Linked DNA regions of Stegostoma tigrinum. The protein of the gene in region 3 purifies or fractionates together with the protein of the main gene of each other region. This does not show direct contact. Links are inferred from orthologs where the notes say so. Each region holds a gene or a part of one and is shown on either strand. Other genes may lie near its edges.

Region 1 (9,959 bases), on a different chromosome or scaffold from region 3:
AGGTTTGCTAGGACACAATTTTATCTGTACAATTTCTTGCAAGGGCTGTTTTGACATAATGCTGAAAAAAAATTTCTGATCATAAAAAAGTCGCACCTACACAGAAGTGAAAACAAAAACATTTTACCTCCACTGTAGAATCTAAGTTCCAAATTAAATTCATACTACAAACCTTTACACCATGCTAATGGCTTACAGACAGGAAGTAAAGTATACAAGTTAGCTGACAACATGAAGCTAGTTGGAAATGAAAGCTGCAAAGAGATACAAAAAGTTGAATGAGTAAGTAACCAAGTGGCATACTGAGAGATACTACAGGTTACTCAATTTGGTTGCAAGAATACAGAAGTAGCATTATTTTTCAAAAGCATGAAATTGTAAATGTCAATGTTCAGAGGGATTTGTGCATACTCTTGTAAGCAATTTAGAAGTTAGCACACAGACACAGCAAGCAATCAGGATGACAAAGAACACATCAGCCTTCACTGCAAGGGGACTGGAATAAAGAAACATTTTTACAAACGCACAGTATTTCTGCCAGACTATGCTTGGAGTAGAGGTAGAGGACCTGGAGGTTTAGGGAAGGACTTTCAGAGCTCAAACACAGATACCAGTGGTGGAATGATGAAGTGATGAAAATCAGGACATAGCACATGGCTCTGAAAATGGTACTGCCATGGTTACATTACTAGGCAACTAATGCAGAGGTCCAGACTAACATTCCAAGGAAACAAACTGTGTAGCTGGATGAGCACAGATTGCCAAGCAGCATCCTAGGGGCACAAAAGCTGACGTTTCGGGTCTAGACTGCAGTTCCCATTATCTCTAACATTCTGAGGACATGAGTTCAAACTCCATCACAGTAGCTGGTGGAATTTGAAGTCGATCAATAAAGCCAAACAAAGTGAAATAATCACATATTAATCTTGTTTACTAATATTCTTTTAGGGAAAAATTTGTGACCTTATCTGGTCTGGCCTACGTGCCCCCAGACCTGCAGCAATATGGTTCACTGGTGAATCAGGGATGGGCAATAAACACTAGCCTAACCAACAAGATCCATATCCCATGGATGACTAAAAAAAGGCCATGCCCCAAACACCTCCATCACCATCCTAGAGTATTGTCAGACTCAAAGGCAACAGATACAGGGGCGAGTAGACCGGACAGTCCTTAGCATCAGCTCCAGACCCCGCAAAGTTACATGGTATTGTTGCTGACTATCCCCATTAGCTGATGAATCGTACCACACCAGTTCAACTGGAGGGTACACTGAAGATGGAGATGTACTCGAGATGTGGAATTCTAACACCTATCCTTAAAGGCTTTCAGTACCACTGCTAACCAAGCAGGTTGGGTCCTGAAGGCATACCTTTCAGACTGTGTCTACGGCAGATGGTGAGAGAAAGCCAACATGGCAGCAAAACCTGTCCGACCTCAGCTTCACTCAACACCATCCAGCACTTCCTCCGTTCACGTGCAGCAGTAGCTGTGTGACTTCAATCTACAAGGTGTACCTCATTAACTCACCAAAACTTTTTGGGTGTCTCCTTTACAGAGAGGGGGTGGTCACTGTGGTAGTGTTCTACCTCTGATTCGAGTAGGTTCAAGTACCACCTACTATAGAATTGTGTAATAACATCTCTGAACAGGTTAATTTAAAAGAGTCTCCAAATCCCAGAACTCCACCACTGAAAAGGACACCATCACCTGGAAATCCTCTCCAGGCCATCCCCATCCTGACTTGCAAATATACCATTCATTCACTGTTACAGTTAAAATCTTGAAATCCTCTATCAGCACAGTGCACACCACATGGACTGCAGCAGTTCAAACAGGCAACTAATAAATCAGCTTCTCAAAGGCAATTAGGGATGGGTAATAAAAACTTGACTAGATGATGCTCACAAACATAATTAAATTCTAGGGAAATGGAGAAGTCCTGAAAAGCAGCAGGGCTGGAGGTGGTTATAGATATCAGAGGGATGAGGCCATGGAAGGATTTAAAGGGGAGAGGAGAAAAAAAAATCAAACTACTGCTGGAAGCAGGAGCCAATTTAGGTGAGCAAGAATAAAGACGGGGCTGAACTGCCCACGAATCATACTAGAAACAGCAGAGTCTTCTTGAGGGTAGAAGGTGAAACTGCATTAAAACAGTCAGATCTAGAGGTCAAAAAGAGTCACAAACGAGGGGTGCAGCAGGAGACAAACTGTAGATGGGAAGAAGATAGGTTAAGCTACAGGATGGAAACAGGCAGCCTTCAGGTTAACAATAAGAGTCTTTGGCAAAACTAATGTCATATTTGATCCAACAGACTGGTTCAGTATCAGCATAGACCAGGAGTGAAACACAGTCATGATGTGTAAGTGGAATTTGCAGCAGGGACTAAAGGCAATGATTTCAAATCTTCATGTTGGTTAGCTGGAGATACTCATCATAAACGCTGAACTCAGCTTTTAGTGAGGACAGAAGGATTCCAGCTAACAACTAAAAAAGAACAACCACAAATGGGAAGAGCATATTTACAAACTGTCACTGGCAGCCGTATTCTAACTTGTATATCTCCCCAGAATTCTCATTCCGGAAGCAAAGCAGCTATGCGTAAGTTACCTGCTAATCTTACTTAAACTGACCAATATTTTCACAGGACAATGGTTTCAGGTGAATACAACAGCTCTACTCAAGGAGGTTACAATGAGGGAAAGAGGTCATTCAGCCCCTCATGTTGGTATTGTGTATAAACAAGTGTTCTGCATATATCTCAAAATTCAACTCTGCTCCAAAAAGGGGCTGTTGTAGCAGAGTGGAGTGGTAACATCCCTATTCCTGGGATAAGTGGCCTGTTCAAGTCTCACCTATTTCAGAAGTGTGTAATAACATTTTTCTAATCAGAGACAAGTTAAATTTAGAAAAAACTCTACTCCAAATTCCATTAACCACTGAGGTACTTTCTCTGGAATGCATCCAATGTCAGTATATCTTCCCTTAGATAAGGGGATCAAAACTCTTCACAGTTTTCAGCTGTGGTCTGATCAACACCTTGTCCAATTTCAGCAAGATGACACTAAGCTTATATTTTATTCCCTTTGCCTTCCCCATTACACACTGAACTTCAATGCTAGCTTTTTGTGATTCATGCACAAAAGAGCCCCCTACCCCTTGGAGTTGCAGCTTTCCACAGTCTTTCTCCATTAAAATAATATTCATCTCTTCTACTCTTCCCGCCAAAGTACATAACCTCACATTTTGCGATGTTATACCCATCTACTGAGTTTTTCCAGCCATTCATTTAACTGTCTATATCCCCCTAATCTCTCTCACACTCACTGCTTGCTTTTTCACCTGTTTTTAATGCTATCCACAAAGGTGGCTACAGTACATTCAGCTTCATTAATACAGACAGTAAATAACCGTAGCTCCAGAACTAATCCCTGCACACACTACTAGTTACAGGCAGTCATCCTGAAAACAAACCCTCTACTCAAACTCTAGCTATTAGCTAGCCAGTCCTCGACCCAAGAAAACATAACATACAAACATATCCATGCCCACACCATTAAGTAGTCTGTGTAGTTCTGGAATGAGCGCATTTTGGATGAGCAAATATCCAGTCTCTTGTTATATCAAAAAACTGAAATAAATCTGTGACATGAGGCCATGCTGACTCTGCCTGATCATATTAGCATGCTCCATATCCTTTATAACATACTCTGACGCCTTTGCAGCTACAGATTCACTACATGGGGCAGCTTGTTCCTGGACCTGAAATGATAACTCAGTACCTGGAGTGAGAAACAGTCAGAGCCGTTGAGCTTGTCTGGGAGTTTGTTTCTCTAAACCCGCCCTGTCAAGATCAGTCAGTATTTTACTATTTTTCAGTTTGCCTTTTGGCCTCTAAAGAAGCCTGGCCTAGTTAACTTTTCCTTACTATCAACACACACTTAATAGACCAATAAGCCGAAATACTGCGGCGCAGGAGGCCGTTCGGCCTATCCCCTTCATTCTTGACCCGGATACAAGGGGAAAACAGTCCAATCAGACCCCCCCCGCCATGTGTCTGTGAAACCGTGTCGGGAAACCTGCCTGACCCTCCCCCCCCCGGAAAGTGGGGGCCGGCTCGTCGGGAGGGTCCCCGCAGCTACAGCGCCTGATTGCTGGAGCTGACCTTTCCCATACCCCGAACCCCGTCAAGGCCCAGGCTGGTTAATCCACCCACCCCCAATCACCGGGATCCAAGCCTATCTCTGCTCAGGCCTCACTCACCGCCCACTGCCAGCTCGGATAGCCTTCCCTATAGTCAGTCACTTCATCCGCTCCGTCCCGGTTACACACTTCAAGTAGCCCCCGAGGCGGCTGAGGTTCGACCACACGCCTAGGCCAGGCACCGCCTACTTCTCCCACGTGACATCTACGGGACACGCCCACGCTGCGCGCACTGATTGGCCAGTCTTAACATCCGTCTGGAAAGGTGTTCGTCGATTGGATTATTTGACTGTCAGTCAAACTTGATTCGCAACAACATTGGCTAATAGACGCAAAGGCTCCCGAAAAGGCAGCGCCCTCACATTCCATTGGTCATTTTCTCGACCGGAAGCCCCGCCCACCCACAATCTTGACAATCCCATTGGTCGCCTTACATGTCATTCAGGACTGGGCAACGTGGGCCTTAGACGGAGTGTTCTGGGGCCATTCGCTCTAGCTGCAGGTCATGAAGGCGAAAGCCGCGAATTCTCGGGCCTTTGCCTTTCTTGCTTCTCCCGCCGGCAACAGTTTCGGGAGCTCGGTTACCATCTCGGTTCAGCCTGTTTCCCATACGCACATAAACCTGCGATCAACTGTCACTCCAGGCGGGGTCAGTAGTAAAACATAGCGGCGTCGGTCCCCACTTGACCCTCTTTCCCGGTCCGGTGTTCCCCGCAGTCCCTCACGTCAATCAGCCGCATCCGCCGTTCCGATTGGCTGTGCGACTTGGGCTCGCCCCTATGACGGTGCGTGATTGGTGTATTCAAACAATCCTGCCTGTTACAGCGCTGCTGCTGTTGTTACCCGCTGCGGCCCGCCTCTTAAAAGGGCAATTCCTCCAAATGGTCCATAGGAGGTGAGGAGGCCCTTCAGTCCTGCAGGTTCCTTTTGCGCCTCAACTGGATGGTCGCTGCGATAGTGGGAACTGCAGATGCTGGAGAATCTGAGATAACAAGGTGTGGGGCTGGATGAACACAGGCCAAGCAGCATCAGAGGAGCAGGAAGGTTGACATTTAAGGCCTACACCCTCTGATGAAGGATCAGCCAGAGGCCTCGGCAACTGTTTCTGGAGATGTCTGCCAAATCTCATCATAGTGGCTGGCGACATGTAAATTTGAACAATAAAATGTAGAATGTAAAACTAATCTCCATGATGATGACCATGAAATAGTTAATGGTTGTTGTATGCCCCCAGAAGAAACCCTAGAGGAAACAGGCCTGGCAGCCTCTGGAGAGTTTATTAGATTCAACATCAAATTTTTGTATAATCCCTGTGGGAACGTGCCATTTGGCCCAACGAGTCCAAACCAGCCCAGACGAGCATCCCAACCAGACTCTCCCTCTTACCCGAAATAATGGGAACTGCAGATGCTGGAGAATCCAAGATAACGAAGTGTGGAGCTGGATGAGCACAGCATCTCAGGAGCACAAAAGCGGTCTCGGCCCGAAATGTCAGCTTTTGTGCTCTGAGATGCTGCTTGGCCTGCTGTGTTCATCCAGCTTCATACTTTGTTATCTCCCTCTTACCTTATCCCTGTAACCCTGCACTTCCATTTCCCACAGCTACTCTGCCAAACCCACACATTCCTGGACGTTGTGGGCATTTTAACATGGCCAATGCACCTAATCTACTCATTTTTTTGGATTGTGGGTGGAAACCCATGCAGGCAATCAGCTGAGGCTGGAATTGAACCCAGGTCCCTAGTGCTTAAGGCAGTAGTGCTATACCACTGAGGCACTCACTGGGGACGCAATGGCCTAGTGGTATTATCACTGGACTGTTAATCCAGAGACCTGGATAACATTCTGGGATCTGAGTTCAAATCCCACCATGGCAGATGTTGGAACTCGAATTCAATAGAATATCTGGAATTATGAATCCATTGTTGATTGTCAGGAAAAACCTATCTGGCTCACTAATGCCCTTTAGGGAAGGACACTGCCATCCTTACCTGGTCTGGCCTACATGTGACTCCTGACCCTCGGCAATGTGGTTGACTCTTAACTGCCCTCAGGGTAATTAAGGATGGACAATAAATGCTGCCTGGCCAGTGATGTCCTTATCCTATGAAAGAATTTTTTAAAAAACTTGATTTAATTCTTTTTCCGTAGGACAGGGCAATAGCCTTATGATCCAGAGATCCCAGTAATATTCTGGGGATCCAGATTTGAACGGAATGTGTATGGCTGATGGTGGGACTTAACTTCAATAAAGTATTTGGAATAAAACTGGTGTGGATTTAGGAAATTCTGTCTGGTTCATCAATGTCCTTTAGAGAAGGGGACTGCCATTCTTTCCTGGTCTGAACTAGATGTGACTTACCAACCCACAGCAAGATGTTGACTCTTAACCGTCCTCTGAAATGGCTGAGCAGGCCACTGATCAGATTAGATTTTGTATGCTACAACATCTTGATTTTTAAACTTCTCAAGATTATTTCAAAATACCTCCGCGGACGCACACTTCCCTGTCTCTCTAATTTCTGACTGGCCCGCAACCCTCTGGCATATCCATGCCATCCCAATTCTGGCCTGTTGTGATATCCCCAATTTTCATCAATCCTGCCTGAGTGTTGCTGAACAAAGAGATCTTAGAATGCAAGTTTATAGTTCTTTGAAAGTGGAGACACAGGTAGATAGGATAGTGAAGAAGGTGTTTGGTATGCTTTCCTTTATTGATCAGTGTATTGAGTATAGGATTTGGGAGGTCATGTTGCTGAAGTATAGGACATTGGCTAGCCTGCCTTCGGAATACTGCATTCATTTCTGGTCTCCCTGCTTTAGGAAGGATGTTGTGAAACTTGAAAGGGTTCAGAAAAAGATTTATAAGGATGTTAGATAACAAGGTGCAGAGCTAATGAACACAGCAGGCAAGCAGCATCATAGGAGCAGGAAGGCTGACGTTTTGGGTATCGAAGGGTCTAGGCCCGGAACGTCAGCCTTCCTGCACCTCTGATGCTGCTTGGCCTGCTGTGTTCATTCAGCTCTACATCTTGTTATCTTGGCTACTTTTTCACACACAGAGGGTGGTGTGTGCATGGATTCAGCTGCCAGAGGAAGTGGTGGCGGCTGGTACAATTACAACATTCAAAAGGCATTTGGATGTGTATGTGAATAGAGGGATGTGGACCAAATGCTGGCAAATGGGACTAGGTCAGATGGGGGTGTCTGGTCAGCGTGAATGAGTTGGACCGAAGGGCCTGTTTCCATGCTGTACAGCTCTATGACTCCATTGGTGGCCTTCAGCAATGTGGGCTCTGCACTCTGGAATTCTCTCCTGAGTTTTCTCTGTCTCTCTTTCTCCATGCTCCAATAAAATTTTGTGCATCATCTTGTACTTATTTAGGCTTTGAAGCACGTGCAGAAGGACATACAGAAACATCAAGACCTGCCTCATTCAAAGAAAGAGAGCAAGTGATGCAGAGGGCCCAAACAGATGAAGACATCATTGCCAGTGCCTGTGGTCGAGTGCTTAAAATCAGGGACATTTAAGAAGCCAGAATTACACAAACAGATTTCAGAGAGTTGTGGGATTGAAGGAGATGACAGAGATAGGGAGGAGGCAAAGCCACGGAAAGAGTTAAACACCAGTTAAAGAACCCTGTAATCGAAGCAACCAACATGGATCAAGGAACACAGGAGCAGAGGGTGAATAGGGTTTGCCACAAGTTTCTACCTTTTTGTTATTGCAAATTACTGAGGATAGGAAGTGGGAATCCTGCAAGAGGAGCATTAGAGTAATCAGAGCTTGAGCATAAATGAAGGTTCCAGAAGCAGATGTGTGGAGATAGGGATGAATCCAGGCAATATTAGGGACCTGGGTGATGTGATAATTTGGTTGAAAAGTCATCATGGGATTGAATGCGAGACTAAGGTTTAAACTGGTACGTTTCAGTCTCAGTCCGGTGTAAGGGCCAGGAATGGATTTGGAAGCCAGTGACCAGAGTTTATAGTGGGGAGCAAAACCAATATTTTCACATTGTTCATTTGGAGAACCTCTATCACATGGTACTGAATTTTAGTCAAACTGTATGACAACTGAAGCTCATGCAAGGGTGGGTCTTTGGTCTTTCTCTTATCATTGAGTCAGAGTCAGAGTGCAAACAGCATGGAAAGAGGCCCTACAGCAGCTTCTCTTTCTTTTTCCTCTGGTCCCCTATGATACCATAAGATAAAGAAGTAGAATTAGGCCAATCAGTCCATCAGGTCTGCTCCATTGTTTTATCTTGGCTGTTAGGTTTCTCAGCTCCATTTTCCTGCCTTCTCCCTGCTGTGATCCCCTTACTTATCAAGAACCTATCTATCTCTGTCTTAAATGCACTAAATAACTTGTTCTCCACAGCCCTCTGTGGCAATGGGTTCCACAGATTCACCACCCTCTGGCTGAAGAAATTCCTCCTCATCTCAGTTCTAAAGGGTTGTTCCTTCACTCTGAGGCTGTGCCTTCAGGTCCCAATCTCTCCTACTGATGGAAACATCTCCACATCCACTCTATCCAGCCCTGTCGGTATTCTGTAAGTGAGTTTTGAGAAGATTTGTAGCTCAGGTTGAGGATCTGGATGTGAGTTTGCTCGCTGAGCTGGAAGGTTAGTTTTCAGACGTTTCGTCACCATTCTAGGTAACATCATCAGTGAGCCTTCGACGAAGCGCTGGTGTTATGTCCCGCTTTCTATTTATCTGGTTAGGTTTCCTTGGGTTGGTGATGTCATTTCCTGTTCTTTTTCTCAGGGGATGGTAGATTGGCTCCAAGTCAATGTGTTTGTTGATGGAGTTCCGGTTGGAATGCCATGCTTCTAGGAATTCTCGTGCATGTCTCTGTTTGGCTTGTCCTAGGATGGATGTGTTGTCCCAATCAAAGTGGTGTCCTTCCTTATCTGTATGTAAGGATACGAGTGATAGTGGGTCATGTCGTTTTGTGGCTAGTTGATGTTCATGTATCCTGGTGGCTAGCTTCCTGCCAGTTTGTACAATGGAGTGTTTGTCACAGTTCTTGCAAGGTATTTTGTAGATGACGTTCGTTTTATTTGTTGTCTGTATAGGGTCTTTTAAGTTCATTAGCTGCTGTTTTAGTGTGTTGGTGGGTTTGTGGGCTACCCTGATGCCAAGAGGTCCGAGTAGTCTGGCAGTCATTTTAGAAATGTCTTTGATGTAGGGGAGAGTGGTTATGGTTTCTGAGCCCGTTTTGTCTGTTTGTTTGGGTTTGTTGCTGAAGTTCTGTAAGTTTCAATCACATTACTCCATATCCTTCTAAACTCTGAGTACAAACCCAGAGTATTTAACTGCTCCTCATATGACAAGCCCTTCATCCCTGGGATCATTCTTGTAAACCTTCTCTGGACTCTCAGAGTGGCATGGTGGCTCACAGTGCCAGGGACATGGGTTCAATCCCAAGCATGGTCACTGTCTGTGTGGAGTTTGCATGTTGTCCCTGTGTCTGTGTGTGTTTCTACTGGGTGCTCCGGTTTCCTCCCATGGTCCAGGGATGTTTTTAGGCTAGGAGGATTAGCCATGATCATGGCCTGGTGTTACAGGGATAGGGTGGGATGCTCTTGGAGGGTCTATGCAAGCCAAATGGCCTCTTTCCACATTATCCATGCCAGTACCTTGCCCAAACACCATAGGCTTTTAGTTCGTTTAGCAGCCTTCTGTGTGGTACCTTTACAAAGGTCTCCTGAAGATCTGTCCATGATCCCCTCCTCCTATTATTCACCTCCAA
Region 2 (9,959 bases), on a different chromosome or scaffold from region 3:
TGCCCTTCCATGCAGGGGTCAACCTGGTAAACCTTCTCTGGACTGGCTCCAATGCACTCCAAGGTCAACTGCAACAGCTGGAGAGGGACAGATGGCCATTTGTTGGGATATGGGTCAACAGGCACCGGTCAGCTCACCTGTTCTGGATTCTTGAAAGCTAACGATTGGAGTTCAATAACATAATCCACTGTGCTGTCACCACATTGCAATTTAAATCTGACCCTTTTAACCTGCACATCCTTTTCGGGAAGCTCCTGTCATCAGCCTAGTCTCCAAGTCCTTGATGACTTCTACTTGAAATATCCAGCAGCAGCATCTTAAGGACTGGCTCTGGTGCTCCTGTCACATCATAATTATGCCTAGAGCCTCCTTCAGCCTTGGTAAATAAAGGGATAAAGGTCATCACAGTCAGTCAGAAGATAGGGCTGCTCTCTTGTTACACAGAGATGTCTGATAGTGGTTCAACCTCAGGGCCAAAATCCTTCATAGTAATCTCAGCCGATGTGGGAATGGAACTCAAACTGTTAGCATCATTCCATTTCACAGATCAGCCAAACAGCCAAGTGAACTAACTGACCCCCTTCTCAGTAAATATCCATTTATGAAGCACAAATACTTGCAGTGTATGGACCAAACCTTCTATTAAATCAGTGCAAAGGGCTAAACTACTGTCACTGTTGCTGCGCTCAGCCAGTGGATTCCACTGGAATAACAGATCAGTTCCATCGCCATGACACCTCGCAAGTTGTCGGGTTAATGAGTGCACTTACCATGACCACTGCTTCACAATTACTATTCACTACAGTGTTCTGCCTAGAGTCCCTGCTGTGTTCCACCTCATTACTTGGGATGACGATTGATGCTTACATGTCACTAAAAGGATGACATTGTTTCTGTACCTAGCCTGTCCCTGACAAACAATTCTAAAGGCAGAAATACTGCAGATGTTATTTTGCCTGTGAAACTTTGCAGGAGTTCAGTGGATAGTCCAGTATTCCTGTAAACACTTCAAAAGTAATAAAACAAAATTTAAACTTTTTACACTTAAGGTGAAAAGCAAACTTTACTGCCTCAGTGAGTACAGGAAACATTACACTTAGTGATTCAAAAGCTCCAAAATCAATTATTTATACACCATAATAAAACAAAGTTACCTTCAGCTAGGGTTATGGCCTCCATAACCTTAACAGGAAGAGAAGATCCAAAACTCCTGATTTCATAGTTGAGCGTCTCGCCAACTGTTTGATACTGTGCTCCTCTGGTTGGAGTTGGACTTGAGGAAGAAAAAATAATTCCAGTCAAAGTTCTCCATTACTATACTTGAAACAAATGCAGTCATACTTGGCCTAAGTATATTCTTACCGTTCAAATTTAGCAAATCAGTCAGAAACAATAGCAAATGTTCTACAAGAAAAAAATACTAATTTCACAGGGCCAAAGGAACACAGAGCTCAGAACGGCTAACTTTTTTTTCTAGTAAACTTCAGATGAGTCCAATAGTAAACAGCATCTGTGTAATCTCACTGTAATATAAACAGAGATTAGGGAATACCAGAGAGGTCAAACACAGAGATATCAAACTATTGAGTGAGAAAGGAAACTAAATTTCATTTGCGAAACTAAGATAACGTTATTCAAATTCTAAAGAAAAACCAAGTTTGCAATACTGGTGCCAGAATGATAGAATTCAACTTTGCCAGTACATTGAAACAAATTGTCATGTGAACAATACAAAGTATTTGAAAATGTATGAAGTCAACAAAAGTCCACATTCTGTGCTTGAAGCTGTTAATCTGCATGACACCTGAACATTTTTTTGAATAAACCAGTCACTTTACATCATAACTCTGTGGCTAACATATGCTGAGGAGGAAAACTGAATCCCTCTCCTGGTGGTAGTGGTATCTGAAAGGTATGATTCCATCAGTACAACTATGTCAGATTGTTGCTTATTTAATCTACAGAACAACTTTCCAAATTTTGATACATCTCTCCTGATGGTGGTAAGGAAGAATTTATGGATCAAAAGGGTTGTGTTTGCCATTGCTGTTTCTGGTGCCTAGGTCAACATCTTTCTGCGGTACCAAACTCCTGTCACTATGCAAGAGTAGTTTCTTCTCCCTTTGTGTTCTAACGGACTATTCACTACAAGGGATATTTAAACAGCCTAAAATAAACACTTGTAAACAAATAATCAATAACCCAGCACCTCTCTCAGAACTCAAAATCTAAACTGTAACTAAAACCATGTTTTCTCCGTTCCTGAAAGTACAAGTCAAACTTAAAGCTACATTTGGATCTGTTCACTTCAGAACCCAAGTTTCCAAAAATTGATCTAGCATAAACCCTCATCACAATAAACTGATCACTTACTCTTTGAAGGTAAAGAGGTTAGCTTTGAATTTAGCCACTAGCACAAACATTACCTAGTCCATTTACAACTAGATTAAGTAAGTGAATCACCTCTCATTTCACATCTTCCAAAGAATATGCATGATTTAAATAAATGTTGCACATTATCCAAACGCTCTATTTTCTCAGAGATAGTAAGAACTGCCAATGCTGGAGTCTGAGATAACACAGCGTGGAGCAAGAGGAATGCAGCAGGCCAGGCAACATCAGAGGAGCAGGAAAGCTGACATTTCTGGCTTGCTGTGCTCGTTCAGCTTCACACTGTGTAATCTCTATTTTCTCAACAGTTCCAAATGCTCCTTTGAATAGTTGCATTATCCTAAATGTGGATCATACCAATTTATTAAAGCCAGGATTACCTGTCTGTGTTACACTTTCCAATACTGAGTTCCATTCACCATACTTTCAAAAACTCCTACAGCACAACCTGACAAAACGATGCTGGCTTTCCTTGATTACTCCTTGCTTCTCCAAATGAAGATTAACTCTGTCCCACCACTGATGTTAGGCTCACTGACCTACAGTTCCCTGGTTTATCCCTACCACTCCACTGTACCACATTAGCTGTACTCCAGTCCTCTAGCACCATTCCCGTGGCCAGACAGGACTGAAAATTAAAGTCAGGACTTCAGCAATTTCCCCTTTGCCTCCCACAGCAGCCCAGGATACATCTCACGTGGGTCTGCCCTGTCTAAATCTTTCTTACTCTGTCTACACCATTTAGAACAAAGAACAAAGAAAATTACAACACAGGAACAGGCCCTTCGGCCCTCCAAACCTGCGCCGATCAAGATCCTCTGTCTAACCCGTCATCTATTTTCTAACGGTCTGTGTCCATTTGCTCCCTGCCCATCCATGTACCTGTCCAAGTATATCTTAAAAGACGCTAACGTGTCTGCGTCTACCACCTCCGCTGGCAACACGTTCCAGGCTCCCACCGCCCTCTGTGTAAAGAGCTTTCCACGCTTTTCGCCCTTAAACTTTCCTCCTCTCACTTTGAACTCATGACCCCTAGTAATTGAGTCCCCCACTCTGGGGGGGGGGGGGGGGGGGGGGGGAGAGGAAGCTTCTTGCTACCCACCCTGTCTATACCTCTCATAATTTTGTAGACCTCAATCAGGTCCCCCCTCAATCTCTGTCTTTCTCATGAAAATAATCCTAATCTACTCAACCTCTCTTCATAGCTAGCACCCTCCATACGAGGCAACATCCTGGTGAACCTCCTCTGGAACCTCTCCAAAGCATCCACATCCTTTTGGTAACGTGGCAACCAGAACTGTACGCAGTATTCCAAATGTGGCCGAACCAAAGTCCTATACAACTGCAACATGACCTGCCGACTCTTGTACTCAAATATTTAATATTGGAAAAGTTGAAATCCCAATGATCATCACCTCTATTATTTCTGCACATCTCTGAAATTACTTCTACCTTTGCCTAATTATTAAAGGGTCCTCTCGTACACTTCCATCAGGTGATTGAAGCTACCTTGCTGAATGTTTTTAAGGCAAGGCTAGCTAAATTTTTGGACAGTAAAGGAATTAAGGGTTATGGTGAGTGGGCAGGTAAGTGGAGCTGAGTCTCAAAAAGATCAGCCATGATCTTATTAAATGGCAGGGCAGGCTCGAGGGGCCAGATGGCCCACTCCTGCTCCTAGTTCTTATGATTGCTGCTGTTTTTTAATTCTACCCATAAGGCCTCAATTAAAGAACTAAGAAATCATCCTTCTGTAAAAGAACAAAAAACCTCAAAAAGTGACTCCTTGATCAATACTGCAACATTACCACCTTGCTTCTACCCACTCATCTTTTACCTGAAAATATTGTTGCAAGATTGCATCCTTCTTCCTACCCATGTCCCTGGCATCAATATGAACCACAACCTCAGAAGTAGAAAGAGCTGCCGATGCTGGAGTCAGAGATAACACACTGTGGAGATAGAGAAGGCCTGCTCCTCTGATGCTGCCTGACTTCCTGTGTTCCTGCAGCTCAGCATTAGTGTTATCTATGAACCATAACCTTATTGTACACCCCTAAAGGCCCTGAAGCTGTTCAGTGACATCCTTGACCCTGTCCTCAAGAAGCTGACACACTATCCTAGTGTCACAACCACAGAAATTGCTCTCTATTAAGTCTTCAACACTACTGCCCTTGCTTTCATAGTATCCCTAGCGTGAAAACTGGCCTTTTGGCCCAACAAGTCCATACTGACCCACCCCCCTAATCTCCACATCCCTGAACACTATGGGCAATATAGCATGGCCAATCCAACTAGCCTGCACATCTTTGGATTGTGGGAGGAAACCGGAGCACCCGGAGGTGCAGACACGGAGAGAACGTGCAAACTCCACACTGACAGCTGCCCGAAGGTGGAATCAAACCCAGGTCCCTGGCACTGTGATACAGCAGTGCTAACCACTGAGCCACCGTGCCGCCCCATTTCCTTCTGTTCTCCCAGCCCTGGACTTGTGCAGGGGTAGAGATAATGGGAACTGCAGATGCTGGAGATTCCAAGATAATAAAACGTGAGGCTGGATGAACACAGCAGGCCAAGCAGCATCTCAGTGCTCCTGAGATGCTGCTTGGCCTGCTGTGTTCATCCAGCCTCACATTTTATTATCTTGTGCAGGGGTAGCATCACTTTGATGCTTTTCTAGCACAAAATCTGCTGGCGTGTGAGATACGCCCTGGGGGTTTCCTCATTACAGGCCTGCCCCCGCGACTCCCCTTCGCCCATCCCCTGACTGCACTTCACTTTATGGTAGGAGGTGAATTTAAAAACATGTCCAGATGTGACCAGGTGATAGTCAAAGCTGGTGAGACCTGTGCTCATCAGGAGCATCGAGAGACTTCCCCATAACTCAGCCTGTACAACATTTCAGCACCGCGCTCCCCTGATTAAGGTGGTTAGTGTCGCACAGTGTTTTGTGGGATCCTGCCGTGCCAGGGACGTGACAGGCGCCAGGCAAATGCAGCCCTGACAACACTCACCGGCCGCACAGGCTGGAGCGCCAGGACGGAGAGAAAACGCCGCTGGCCGACACACTGCGCCGGCCCTGCACGGGAAAGCCGCCGCCGCTCCGGGTCAGCGGCGACCCAAAGCAACTTGAGGGGGGCCGCTTGGCACCACCAGGAGCCCGCGGGGAAAACATGCTGCAGACAGCGCGGGCCCCGCCGTTTAGGCCTCAGGCCTCCCGCACTCGCCGCCAAACCACTGCGCCTGCGTGACCCGCCAGGCACTGCAGAGTCTGATTGGTCACATTGGGGCATGGACGATATAAACACATTCCTGATTGGTGCTAACTTTAGAGATAATGGGAACTGCAGATGCTGGAGAATCCAAGATAATAAAATGTGAAGCTGGATGAACACAGCAGGCCAAGCAGCATCTCAGGAGCACAAAAGCTGACATTTCGGGCCTAGACCCTTCATCAGAGAGTTCATCCAGCCTCACATTTTATTATCTTGGTGCTAACTTTACACCCGTTGTAACGGAAGCTCCCATTGGTCAACAGCTGCCGGTGATGCTGTTTGACCTGCTGTGCCCCTTGTTATCCCAGAGAGAGAGAGAGAGAGAGCGGTCGGACCAAGGTGAAGACAGTCAGCCTAGGGGAATATATAGCTCTGTTGACTGCCATCAATGGCTAGTGTGTAATAGCAGACCATGGCATAACAAATAGGACCAAATTACTGCAGATCCTGGCACTTGAACTGTAAACAACAAATGCTGGAGATCACAGTGGGTCAGACAGCATCCATGGCGAGAAAACCGGACATTGGCCAATGTTGTCTCCTTGTTTAAGAAAGGAAGCAGGGATAATCCAGGAATTATTAGGCCCCTGAGCCTGATGTAAGTGGTAGGTAAGCTCTTGGAGAAGATATTAATGGACTTACTGAGTAATCAGCTGGAGGTTTCCTTGCCCATGTTTGACCTAAAGCCAGGACACCTCTTGGGGACCAGTCACTGTTATAGACAATAGGTGCAGGAGTAGACCATTCATTACGATCATTGCTGATCATCCACAATCAGTATCCTGTTCCTGCCTTATCCCCACAACCCTTGATTCCACTATCTTTAAGAGCTCTATCTATCTCTTTCTTGAAAGTATCCAGAGACTTGGCCTCCACTGCCTTCTGCGGCAGAGCATTCCATATATCCACCACTCTCTGGGTGAAGTTTTTCCTCAACTCTGTTCTAAATGGCCTACCTCTTATTTTTAAACTGTGTCTCTGGTTGAGGACTCCCAGGGCTACTCCCTCCCACCTGTATACCACTGTGCCCCCCACCTCTGCTGGGTCTACCCTGCCAATGAGACAGGACATATACAGGGATGGTGATGGTGGTATCCGGGATGTAGTCATACTCACAGAATCATATCTTACAGACAATGTCAAGCTGTTGCTTGACTAGTTTGTGAGACAGCTTTCCCAATTTTGGCACTAACCCCCAGATGTTAGTGAGGAGGACTTTACAGGGTCAACAGGGCTGTCTCTGGTGTTGTCTTTTCCGATGCCTAGATTGATGCTAGGTGATCTGTCTGGTTTTGTTTCTTTGAGACTTTGTAGTGAATGGTGCAACAGAATGGCTTGGTAAGCCATTTCAGAGGGCAACTGAGAGTCAACCACATTGCTGTAGGCCAGATCAGGAGGTGGCAGATTTTCTTTGCTAATGGACATAAGTAAACCAGACAGGTTTTTCCCCAACATTCGACAATGATTTCATGTCGATCAGTAGGTTTTTAAGTTCCAGGTTTTGTTTTCTTTACCTGTGACCGGCTTTCAAGTCAGGGTTTATGTGGCTTGTCCAGTTGAGGTTCTGATCAATGACCCCCAGGATGTTGATAGTGAGAGATTTAGTGATTGTAATACTGTTGGAATGTCAAGTGACGATGGTTAGATTGTCTCTTACTGGTGATGGTTATTGCCTGGCACAAAGGTTACTTGCCAGCTCTTGATGTGTTTGAACATGGACTGCTTCAGTATCTTAATACTACAAACATTAACAAACATCCCCACTTCTGACATTATGATGGAGAAGATTATTGAACCAGCTGAAGATGGGTGGATATAGTACACTACCCTGAGGACCCTCAAGCTGAGATGACTTAACTTCAACAACCACAACCACCTTTCTACATGCCCAGTATGACTCCAGTCAGTGGAAAGTTTGGCCCCAACATGCATTGATTCCAGTTTGCCTGGGGCTCCTAGTGGCTACAGCAGGGACCAGTGGCCCAGTGTGGAGTGTGGAAGCCCCCTGCACTGGAATGCTGTGGAGAGACTGTGATGTTTGTCTTTTTAACGGTGTTTCTTATTTTTCTGACCATGGTCGTACTATGTATAGCTGTAATGTAACATTTTTTCTTTCTTTTTCTACTCTATAACTAAGGATTGTATCTAAAGGTGGTGCTGTAAGTAGTGATTTATAAACTTTTTACTGTTCATTTTAAGTACATATGACAACAAGGCTAATTTAATTCTATTCAATTTAATTGATGCCACACTTGGTTGAATGTGGCCTTGATATCAAGGGCTGTCACTCTTATCACTCCTCTGGAATTCAGCTCTTTATAGCCTTTGATTCAAATATGGCCAAATGAGGTTACGAGCAGAATGGCTCTGGCAGAACTCAACTAAGTGGTCCTCAACAGATGCTGCTTGAAAGCACAATTGATGACACCTTTGATCATTTCACTGATGCAAGTAGACGAATAAGTTGGATTTGTCTTGCTTTGTGGGTACAGGACACAAGTAGGTAAGTTTCCACATGTTTGCAGCATTGCATATGACACTGTTATTTCTCCCTCCTTTCAATTTCTGATGTTGTTAATCTGTCTAGTACTTCTCCAACCTGATTCTTTCCTGCTTTTTCATCTTCTGTCGCTAACAATACATCGTCATGCTGCTTTTCCTAATTTCACTTCTTCATTTCAGCTGAAAGCTCTCAAGATGCTGGGCTCCAATTTTTCTGTAAATTCTTTGGTCCTTTGCTCAGTCGACCTGATTCCCATTCTCATTCACCAGAGCCATGTTTCAGAAGCTGCATCCCTGTTGTCTTCAGCATGGGAAACTATACTTCTGAAGTTTCACTGGACCTGAAATGTTCACTATGCTCTCTCACCACAGCTGGTGCCACATCTAAGTTTTCCAGCAAATTTCTTTTGTTATGAGAAGTAAACAAAGACTCAATTTAAAATAGGTCAGAAATTGATTGTTTTAATTTTACTGTAAAATTGATACTACAGATTCTCAAGGGTCAAACTTTTGTGAAGCAATTAAATTCATATTTATAACCACTCAGGATTGATTGTTCAATCACACTTCATCTATTAATCAAACATTTCACAAAATACAGTCTGTACAATGGTGAGTTTCACCAACTATTTCAAGTGTTTTACTTCATTATCGCAAAGGAATTTAGTATCCCTTGTACCATCTGCAGAAAGTTACAGAACAAATGTGAGACTACTCCGTCCTTAAAAGATGGTTCCCAAAATAGATTAAAAATGTTTTTAAAACTGTGGCAAAGAGAAGCTTTGGCAATTTAAAAATCTGCTTTTATCTTTCCCAGAGTCACTGTCAACCTTTCCTTGTATGAGACCTCACGCTGAAGACTTGTCCAACAAGGCCATGGAGAAACTGTATAGATTGTGACGCAGGCTTCCTCATTCTGTGGCTCACATTTGATATCTTTCACCATTTACTTCATTGCTACAGCTGAGATCCTGAACACTGTTCAGAATTACAAGTTTCATAACCTATTTAATAATCAGTGCTGCGATTAGTCAGAATCCAAGGCATTTCTCGGCTGTTTTGACCTGGAGGTATTTTTTTTCCTAAGAGGAGTAACATTTGGGAGCATTATACTTTCAACACAAGTTTTTGGTGGTTTTGTGAAATAGTTTGTTTCTCCACAAGCTTGCGAAATAATCCATCTGAATTTGAGAGGAGTTGCTGGTGGGTACCACACTCAACTATCCTGCCCTGGTCAAGGACTGCAACAGCATCAGCATTCTGGATGGTTGATAGACGATGGGCAATGATCAGCACAGTCCTTCCTACCATCAATCGGTCCAAAGCTTCCTGCACCAAATACTCATTCTCCGAATCCAGTGCACTTTAGAGAGAAGAAATGTAACAGCAAAATGAATAAGACAAAACAAAAATCAAATTAATCAAAATAAAATCAGAAAATGCTGGAAAAATACGGGTCTGCAGCATCTATGGACAAATTAACAGAGCTGAAATTGCATAACTTCTGAATTGAGAGGAGTGGAAAATTTTGTTTTTTTTTTAAATGCATCTGACAGAGGGGGTAATAGTGTGAATGGAACAGATGATGATGGTGCCTAGACCAATAGACAGAAATTAGGTGGTAAAGTAGCAAGCTTTAGAACAGCTGGAAATGACAGATGCAGTAAGGAGAACATGGGTCCACACTGTTGAGAGTGAAGCAAATTAGCCACAAATAGGGCACAGTCACAGTCAAAAAATAACAGAAGCCATCCTCTGATGTTCTTAAACACAATGTTGAGTTTTAAAGGTTGT
Region 3 (9,959 bases):
CCATCTACAAGGCACAAGTCTGAATAGTGATGGAAAACTTCCCATTTGCCTGGATAAGTGCTACTCCAAGGACACCAAAAAGCTTGACACCATACAGGCCAAAGCCTCCTGCTTGATTGGCACAACATTCAGTCACTCCACTAACAGCATGTATAATCGACAAGATGTACTGCAGAAATTCAAAGAAACTTACACAGAGCTTTCCAAACTCATAAGCACTTCCATCTGGAAGGAAAAAGACAGCAGATATATGGGAACATCACCAAAACACCAAGTCTCCCTCCAAGCTACTCACCATCCTGGCTTGGAAATATAAATCATGATTCCTTCACTGTCACTGCAGTCAAAATCTGGCATTCTCTCACCAATCACATACCTGTCTATGATCTTGGAGACATGGAAAGTCTAGACAAGTCCACTCAGATGTAATCTGGGGCTGCCAGGCCATTACTTTTGAAAAGCAAATCATCTAAAAACATAGCTACACGCTGTCCCCACATGCCTCAAAATATATTTTCCTTTGTTCTACTGTTCAACATTAAAAACTTGTCTCAATTATACATTTTTTAAAAAGGCCACCACAAAGCCTTAAGTCTGCCTGAAGACATTATTCCTGCCTTCTAAATATATCACTCTCTCAACTATTTGAAATAACCTGCCATCAAGCCTATCCATTCTCTCAATTTTAAATATTTCCATATGACAATTGCTCCCAAAAAAACATAATTCAAGTTTTCCTCAAAGCAAGCAACATGCTATTACCTCAGTATCCGTTCATCTTCATGTAAAAAGATTCCCCAAAGCTATTATAGATTCTTATGACAACTGAAATAAGAAAATACTTGTGAATGCCTCATGCTCTAAATGCATTTTTCAAAATAACGTGGCACTGACAGGAAAATGTTGTTACATTTGAAATTTACAAAAAATGTTTTCATAATAAACACAAATAAGAGGACTCTTGGGGCACAGTGATAATGGGTTTATTTCTGGGCCAGAACGTTTTGTTTCAAGCCCCACCTGCTCCAGATGTGTACAACGTAGCATGTTTGAACAGGTTGATAAAATAAACTAAAAATGTGGAATAAGGAAGTTCTGAGGAAGGGTCACCAGACCTGAAACGTTAACTGTTTTTCCCTCCACAGATGCTGCCAGACCTGCTGAGCTTTTTCAACAGGTTTGTTTTTGTTCCTGATTTACAGCATCTGCAGTTATTCCACATTTTAAAAACCAAAAGAACTTGTAACAGAAAGCATAGGGTTCAACATAAAACCGAACTGCTGCATAGTCCAAGTTCTGGCAAAATTCCCTGGTACTATACCAGTTAGAAAATGTAGGTAAACTAACACCAATTTCATTATTATCTTTGGTAAGTGAAAGAGCAGAACTAACCAATTACAGTAATTAACATGCAAGATATGGACAAGAGGAGGGCATCGATTGCTACAGCTCCTCACACAAACTAAGGATATCCTAAATTACTGTGAAGCTAATCAAGTACTTTTGAAGCGCAGATACTACTGCAATGCTGGGAATTTAGCACCAACTTACGCAATGGAATCCCATGTACAGAAATGTGAAAATTGAGCAGGTCATCCATTTCTGGCATTCGTTAAGGATTAAGCTCTGCCCAATAACTACAATGCAGTGCTTGTCCATTTATATCATGTCATGAGCTGCACAGAGACAAAAAAAAATTCAATTCAAACTTTACCAGCTTCCATTAGGTTTTGCCAGCTTACAAGGTGGAGACATTTAAACCATTGCTCTGAGTGACAAAACAAATGTTACAAAGCTGAGGCACTGAGTCAGTAGGCTCCATTATCCATTTTTGCAGCTGGAGCACAAGTCAACACCTTAACAGCAACAGTTTTAAACAACCTCAGGATATGCTGACATTTACATCTAATAAATACAGTAATTCCTTGTTTAATGTTGCCCCATTTTTCAATGCTGAACCAAAATAAAGCTAGGTTAATGGAGGCAACAAGTTTACTGAGTATCATGATATTCGAGGTCACAGTGAATTGAGACACCAATTGGCTCCAAAATGGAGTAGCTTCTTAGGCACAAACTCTGCAACTCGTGGTCTGTACCCCCTCCCCAAACCTGTGACATGGGGTCAATCTCTACGTCCGATCCTTCAACAAAAGGATGCTCTCTCCTCAAGCCACTGACGTGCAGCCTCTCTCCTTGCACAACCCTGGATTTGTGGCTTTTCTCCTTCCTGACCCCACCTCTCACTGCTTCTGTCTCCTGAATGTAATTTTTTATTCAAAAACTAGATTCAATTCAGGGCAAAAGCAAAATTGCAGGCCACAGTGGTACAGATGTGCCAAGTTGGAGCGAGTATAATCCATGTTTTATTTTAACTGATCTTCCAATCTCTTGTAAGAGCCACTCATCTCTAGAAGCCACAGGCACAGAAAGTGTTCAGGAATGGGAAGAGACATGCTGGAGCATTAAGGAAAAAAAAACTCCATTGTCAGGTAGAACTCAAAAAGGAATTTACACAGATAACAAGGTGTAGAGCTGGATGAACACAGCAGGCCAAGCAACAGAGCAGGAAGGTTGACGTTTCGGGCCTCGACCCTTCAGGTCTACTTGTGTTCATCCAGCTCCGCACCTTGTTACCTCAGATTCTCCAGCATCTGCAATTCCTACTGTCTCTGAAGAAACTTAGACACGATGGGGAGCATTAGAGGCTCAGGTAAGTGAAGAAACAGCACTGACCAAGAGGTTTGAGCAGCATGATTAGCAGCGAGCAGGAGGTATGATAAGAAAAAAGTTTGAAAAATATGAGAAGTTATTTCATTTACAAATGCACAAGTCTAGCAATGTAAAGTATTTCAACCTGCAGAGTATAATGTTAATGTTTTTTCCTGAAGACTTTATAGAATCCAACTCAATATTACACCTAAAGCCACACAATTAATTTTAAACAAGAACTTACTGTCTTTTGAAGTTATCTCTCTCCATTTTAATGCAGAATTTACTCCATGCAGTTTCTAATTGAATGTGCTGAACAATTCAGACCAGCAGCACCAAAGACATTTTTCCATCCCCATTATTGTCTGCTTTCCGGAGGGACCACTGTCTCCGTGACTCCCTTGTCCACTCCACACTCCCCACCAACCTCACCACACCCAGCACTTTCCCCTGCAACCGCAGAAGTGCTACACTTGCCCCTGCCCCTACACCTCCTCCCTCAGCCCCATCCCAGGCCCCAAGATGACTTTCCACATCAAGCAGACATGCACCTGTATCCGCTGTACTTGTTGTGGCTTCCTTTACATCGGTGAAACCAAGCGGAGGCTTAGGGACCGCTTTGCAGAGCACCTATGCTCGGTTCGCAATAAACAACTGCATCTCCCAGTCGCGGACCGTTTCAACTCCCCCTCCCATTCCACAGACGACATGCGCCTCCTGCAGTGCCACAACGATGCCACCTGAAGGTTGCAGGAACAGCAACTCATATTCCGCTTGGGAACCCTGCAGCCCAACGGTATCAATGTGGACTTCACAAGCTTCAAAATCTCCCCTTCTCCCACTGCATCCCAATACTAGCCTAGTTCGTCCTCGCCTCTCCTCTCACTTGTCCCCACTTCCCACCTCAAGCCACACCTCCATTCCCTACCTACTAACCTCATCCCGCCCCTTGATCTGTCCACCCTCCCCAGACTGACCTATCCCCTCCCTACCTCCCACCTGTACTCACCTCTACAGGCTCCATCCCCACCCCTTTAACTTGTCTGTCTCCTCTCCAACCATCTTCTCCTCTGTCCACCTCCCCCTCTCCCCATTTATTTCAGAATCCTCTCCCCCCTCCCCTGATGGGTCTACACCCGAAAGTCAAAAGCTTTTATGCTCCTTAGCCTGCTGCGTTCATCCAGTTTCACACTTTGTTATCTCGGATTTCCGGCTTCTGCAGTTCCCATTATCTCTACCACAGAGCAGCAACTGTAGTGTACAAACTCTCTCAGTCCGCCAACTTAAACTCCAGGTTTTCAACATCTCATCCTCATTTTCTTCCATTGCTTTGAAATGCTAGGCAAACATGCTCCAGATGTTTGGACACTTTTGTTCTACCCTAGTCTATGATGAGACAATGAAAACTGGAAATGAATCCTAATTTCGCTTTTGTCATCTGACAAGTTTCTGTACATTACAGGTACCATTCTACCGTAAAGCCCTCTGAACTGTCAAATCACAATCTTGTTGCAGGAAATGTCATTGTGCTGCTAACTTGTACTGAAGTCATAAATATTGCTGCATAAACTCAGTACCGAAAGAATAGTTTTAGAAGTTTGAAGTGTCATTTGCTTTTTACCATGATTTTTTTTACAAGAAGTTTACAAAATATCTTTTAATATGATTGTTCAGTATCTATGTTAATCCTGCATGTATCTTCTAATCTTATTTAATTTATGGCAAAACTGTTGTTATAAAGCAAACCACCATTTTGTTTTTGGCTTTGATTTGATATTTTTTCCCCAATCCGATTGGCTACTCAGCTTGCTGTTCTTGGACTTTGGCTGGACGTTGTAAAAAGGGAAGTCGGCAGCTCAGAACTCACTGGCTCATTGAGGGTCACTTTCCTTGAGATCAGTCGTACACATCATGCTTTCGCTTGGTGCCTTGCTCTGTAATGCTGTAAGGCTTACACCATCGTGTAGCACACAGATCAATGCAAGCACGTTTCAAAGCAACACCATGTAACATAGTAAAGCATTCACATTATCATGCAACATCACATGACAGAGGCATACAATATAGTACTACATCATGACAGTAAAGCAAGAAATACATTACCATGTACTGCCAAAAGTATCACGTAACTCTACAACATCAAAACATGGTAATATGCACAATACGAGATACAGCGCAATAACAGCTCTTTACAATGTTAACTATAAATATAATACTTGCTGCACTATAATGTCATAATGAATCACATAAATTTAATATTCTAGTACAGAATCTATTATAAAACATTACAATGCCAGATATTTACAATGTGATGCACACTAACATTGGAAATAAACACTACCCGTTGGTTTCTCACCTGGATCAAAGGGGCAGGGCGCTGACCCAACAACCCCTGCAACTGTCCAACAAAAGCCTTCCTCCGACCAGCCCGCTTTAAGTACAGAGAACCTCCTTACCTTTGTCGTCCTCGTCGATTTTGAGAGCAGTGGAGATGTAGTCGAATGCGAGTTTGTGGGACTGGCGGATCTGCTCGGGTTCGGCCGTGGTGACGGCCGGGGCTGCCTTGCGCGATGCCATCGCGGCCAGGCGCTGGCAGACGTAGGCGAAAAAGAGCCAAAGGTGGAAGGCCAAGAAGCGCAGGAAGCTGAAAACGGCGACCAGAGGATACGCAAAGTAGTAAAGGTTCCGCTTGTGGAGGGAGAGTCTGTCGCTGGTGCCGTCGGGCGATACTCGCGCCGGACCCTTTTTCTTTCTGCCTCGGCCACCCGGAGAATTCATCCACCCGCCCTCTGTCCGCCATCACCCACGGGCATAGCGCAGGCGTCCCGACCACTCCGCATTGTCCAGGCACCCTCCAATCAGCTGCGCTAACAGCCGGGCCTCCATCCAATCAGAAGGTGGGTATTTCACTAGTTATCCAATAGAATCACGAAGTTCCGAGATTTCTCTGTGCGGTAACGAACCAATCAGAGTCCAGGGCTGCAGCCTCCCAGTCAATCAAAACAAACCATTGGTGGGTAAGGCAGCTCTGTGCAGAAACAGATGGGACGGGCGTCCAGACCAAACATCCTCCCTTCTTCAGCAGTGAAGATGATAACAGATTATCAGCCAATCAAAAAACCAGTTTGGAGAGAAAATGGGACGAACGACGCAGGAAAACAAACAATGAACTCGGTAAAGAGCAACTGAAGATCAGGTAGCAACTGAATTGTAAGCATGAAGCAGAATGAAGAGAAAGAAATACGAAACACTGAGTGTGTGAATAGATGAGTAGGGTTAAGTAAAAGGAAAAAAAGACGTGCATTTATATTTCTTAGTGGTGCTAAATACAGTGCACAGAAATTAATACTGTGTATTGAAGAAATATTCTACAAATTCAGCACTGTGCTACGGCAGTAGGTGTCTTCCTCTGGGCCAGAATGCCCATACTCGAGATCCACCTGCTCCAGAGATATGTCATATAATTAGCTAAACATCTAAAAGTAGGATTCTCAAGGATTCACTGTTCATTTTCTGAACTGGGCCTTGCACTATTTTTCCTGCCTATTGCTCAAATAAATCAGGGATCAATCAACCAACCCACAAGCGCATTAATAGATTCAATGTACAAGCTCTGTCATTAAGGGACGGACTGAAGCTAAGAACGAGCGTATAACAAATAAAAGCAAAATACTGAGGATGCTGGAAATTTGAAACAAACAGAAAAAATGCTGGATTAACTCAGCAGGTTCGGCAGCATCTATGCAGAGAGAAATAGAGCCAATGCTTTGAGTCCAGTATTTAACAAAAGGTTAGCAAGTCAATATCCCATGCAAAACATAATATAAAGTATTTCCAAACAGTTTTGTCATTGATATATTAAAACATGAAAGATCTTTCTCCTTGAGTTATTTACAAACAAGTCTGTTCATTTCATACATGGAAAAGCAATGCATGGAGCTTAGTTTCTATGCTGGCTTCAGACTGCTGTTTGTGCCCACAAATTGAAAATGAAGACCAGAATTTCCCAAACTATTTTTCAAAACAATTCCCTTTTTTGAAAATTAATATTACCACAAACATCAGCAAAGGAAGTGGCATAATAATATTCAGTATATAATCATGAAAATTTGAGTATTACCCCAGTTACCATTTGATTAAAAATATCTATGCCTTAAAATACTTTCTAAATTGATATCACATATACTTAGGGAGGGGGCAGACAAGCTTTCCATTTGGCCCAATGACAGAACACTCAGCAAAACGCCAAACAGTTCCCCCACCCTAAGACATAGTAATCAGGGCCTCTCCTCACCCCTCACATTCCTGTCTCTATCCTGGCACACTGTAACCAGCTGCACTTAACAATCTATGTACTGTAATCAGCCCCTCTTCTTTGGCCCCCACACTGTGAACAGCCCTCTTCCCCAGCCCACACATTGCAATCAGCCCCTCTATCCTCCCCGACAAACTATAACCAGTGTTACTTCCTGCCCCTCCACAATACCAGACCAACTTTCCCCACCCACTCCGTCCCTCACAGTCCACCCTTCTGGCCAGATTGCCAGTATGTGCAAAGCAGTATCATTATTGCAGGGTAAAGATCTTATACATCAAGCTGAAAGTAACAGACATACAGTAAAGCCTGAAGCCTTCCTAGTTCAGCTGTATGACCTAGATTTTCTAACACTCACACAATCACTGTTGACCTCGCCTAGACTGACACAGTGCGCAAATATCCGGAACCAACATGGCACTCACTGGGGGTTGCAAACCAAATTTTGGAAATTGTTGCTGCAGACTCATAATAACTATGTTGTCAGTCAAGGACTATCATGAATATTTGATCAAGCTGCTGTTCCTGGGTTTGACACTCAGCTATCATGCAAAATAATTCTTGGGTTTGCTGGGTTCCTTTCTCTCTGCTAATGTTTCCAAGTTTGGTGCAACGCATGTGTCGTTAAGCTCAAATTTAATCATTTGCATCTTTAAAACAATTAACAGTTTAAACTCCCTTTTCTTTCAAATACCAAATGCATATGACCATATTACCATAGCTGCATGTATGGTGGCCAGTATTTAGAAAATCAAATGAAAAACAATCTAAATTACTTTTGTAACATTAAATTCAGCCATTTTCTGATTCAACACACTAATTAGATTTACAACTTTCCAGTTACACCATCACACTGATCAGAGTTGATATTGCACAGCTATATTACTCTACCCGTTCATGCAATGTCCAAAAGTTGGTAATCACGACTCAGAGACTGAGATAGTAGAAAATGCAGGCCTTACTTAGTAGGGGGACTGAACCCACACAGCTGCTATTATTAAACATCATGCTCTAATTAACTGAACTAACTGGCCCTACCTGACCATTAAGCTAAGCATAGTAATTGTTTCACACATATCCAGAATTATCATTCTCTGTTTGCACTAACACATCATCAAATGATTAGACCCAGTGGAAGGACTTTAATCTTCAAAAATGCTTTGGAAGTGTTGAGTCTATAGCAGATGCCTGAAAAGCCAAGTAATGTTTCTGCTTGTCCTCATCTGAGTTCCTTATTACTCTCTAGAGTAAAGTAAACATCAACTAATGTTATAATGCAAGGAACAATTCTGATACGTGCACAATAGGCCAAATGGCCTTGTTCCATGCTATTCTTCCTTAGGAAAGAACATTGGAATAGAAGTAAATGACTCAAGCTCAGTTTGCCATTCAATTAGATCATACTCTGTCCTTAACTGGTAGTGTAACCCTTGGATTATCTTGAATATCAATATTAATATATCTATACATATCATATATACATCACTGGATATCTATATATGAATTACAAAAATCCTTGGATTACAAAATCTACCAATTTCAGTTTTGAAGTTTGAGTTTAATTCAATCAAATTGACATAATGGTTGCTTATTGTTTTATCTAGTGTTTATTCTGAAAAATCACACACTCTAAATAAACAGCGGTATATCTAACATTCAGTCCTATCTGAATTTCCTGATAGATGTTTAATTCCAGTTGAATTAGTCTGTGGCATATCAGCAAACAGATACTGAATTATTTGAGAAGAAAATATGTGACTTTCATTCATATGGTAGCTTTTCATGCAGCCAGTTGTTCCAAAATGCTTTATAGTCCATGAGTCAGAGTCATACAGCATGAAAACAGACCCTTCGGTCCAACTTTTCCATGCCAACCAAATTTCCCAAACAAAACTAATCTCATTTATCTGCATTTGGCCCGTATTCCTCTTAACCGTTCCAACTCATGTACGTATCCAAATGTCTTTTGAATGTTGTAACTGCACCTGCATCTACCATTTCCTCTGGAAGTTCATTCCCCATACAAACCACCCACTGGGTGAAAAAACTGCCCTTAAGATTCCTTTCAAATGTTTCTCCCCTCATCTTAAAATTATGCCGTCTTGTTTTGAGCTCCCTAAACATAGGCAAACAACCTTTGCTATCCAATTTATCTATATACCTCATGATTTTATAAAGCTGCTAGCCTGGTTTCCTCCACGTTCCAACTTTTCCTTCTAATTTTCAAACTTGCATTTTGATCTTTGAAATATTTGAGCCCAGGCTGATTTGGAGTTCAGAACTGAGATGCCCTCGTGCAACCAAAATTGAGCACAATGAGCAGGTTATTCATTTGCAAATTTTGCTTCATAATATTAGAACATAGAACATAGAACAGTACAGCACAGAACAGGCCCTTCAGCCCACAATGTTGTGCCGACCATTGATCCTCATGTATGCACCCTCAAATTTCTGAGACCATATGCATGTCCAGCAGTCTCTTAAATGACCCCAATGACCTTGCTTCCACAACTGCTGCTGGCAACACATTCCATGCTCTCACAACTCTCTGTGTAAAGAACCCGCCTCTGACATCGCCTCTATACTTTCCTCCAACCAGCTTAAAACTATGACCCCTCGTGTTAGCCATTTCTGCCCTGGGAAATAGTCTCTGGCTATCAACTCTATCTATGCCTCTCATTATCTTGTATACCTCAATTAGGTCCCCTCTCCTCCTCCTTTTCTCCAATGAAAAGAGACCGAGCTCAGTCAACCTCTCTTCATAAGATAAGCCCTCCAGTCCAGGCAGCATCCTGGTAAACCTCCTCTGAACCCTCTCCAAAGCATCCACATCTTTCCTATAATACGGCGACCAGAACTGGACGCAGTATTCCAAGTGCAGTCTAACCAAAGTTTTATAGAACTGCAACAAGATCTCACGACTCTTAAACTCAAT

Evidence for each region.
Region 1: the proteins of spast (region 3) and nup98 purify together in Homo sapiens (affinity purification with mass spectrometry; 3 studies listed by BioGRID and IntAct, counting the BioPlex papers as one, with this or other methods). This does not show direct contact. The link is inferred for Stegostoma tigrinum from reciprocal best matches to the Homo sapiens genes SPAST and NUP98.
Region 2: the proteins of spast (region 3) and nup133 purify together in Homo sapiens (affinity purification with mass spectrometry; 3 studies listed by BioGRID and IntAct, counting the BioPlex papers as one, with this or other methods). This does not show direct contact. The link is inferred for Stegostoma tigrinum from reciprocal best matches to the Homo sapiens genes SPAST and NUP133.

The regions. Positions count from the first base shown.
Region 1 is NC_081359.1:111,732,842-111,742,800, forward strand, and holds the start of nup98 (nuclear pore complex protein Nup98-Nup96), read right to left. Parts: upstream 4,893-9,959; 5' UTR 4,639-4,892; intron 4,540-4,638; exon of another isoform or gene 4,265-4,539; intron 1-4,264. UniProt on the Homo sapiens protein: Plays a role in the nuclear pore complex (NPC) assembly and/or maintenance. NUP98 and NUP96 are involved in the bidirectional transport across the NPC. May anchor NUP153 and TPR to the NPC.
Region 2 is NC_081362.1:765,016-774,974, forward strand, and holds the start of nup133 (nuclear pore complex protein Nup133), read right to left. Parts: upstream 5,621-9,959; 5' UTR 5,564-5,620; coding exon 5,403-5,563; intron 1,274-5,402; coding exon 1,155-1,273; intron 1-1,154. Other genes in the region: abcb10 (ATP-binding cassette sub-family B member 10, mitochondrial), read right to left, coding at 9,273-9,528. UniProt on the Homo sapiens protein: Involved in poly(A)+ RNA transport. Involved in nephrogenesis.
Region 3 is NC_081357.1:94,594,719-94,604,677, reverse strand, and holds the start of spast (spastin), read right to left. Parts: upstream 5,536-9,959; 5' UTR 5,488-5,535; coding exon 5,166-5,487; intron 1-5,165. UniProt on the Homo sapiens protein: ATP-dependent microtubule severing protein that specifically recognizes and cuts microtubules that are polyglutamylated.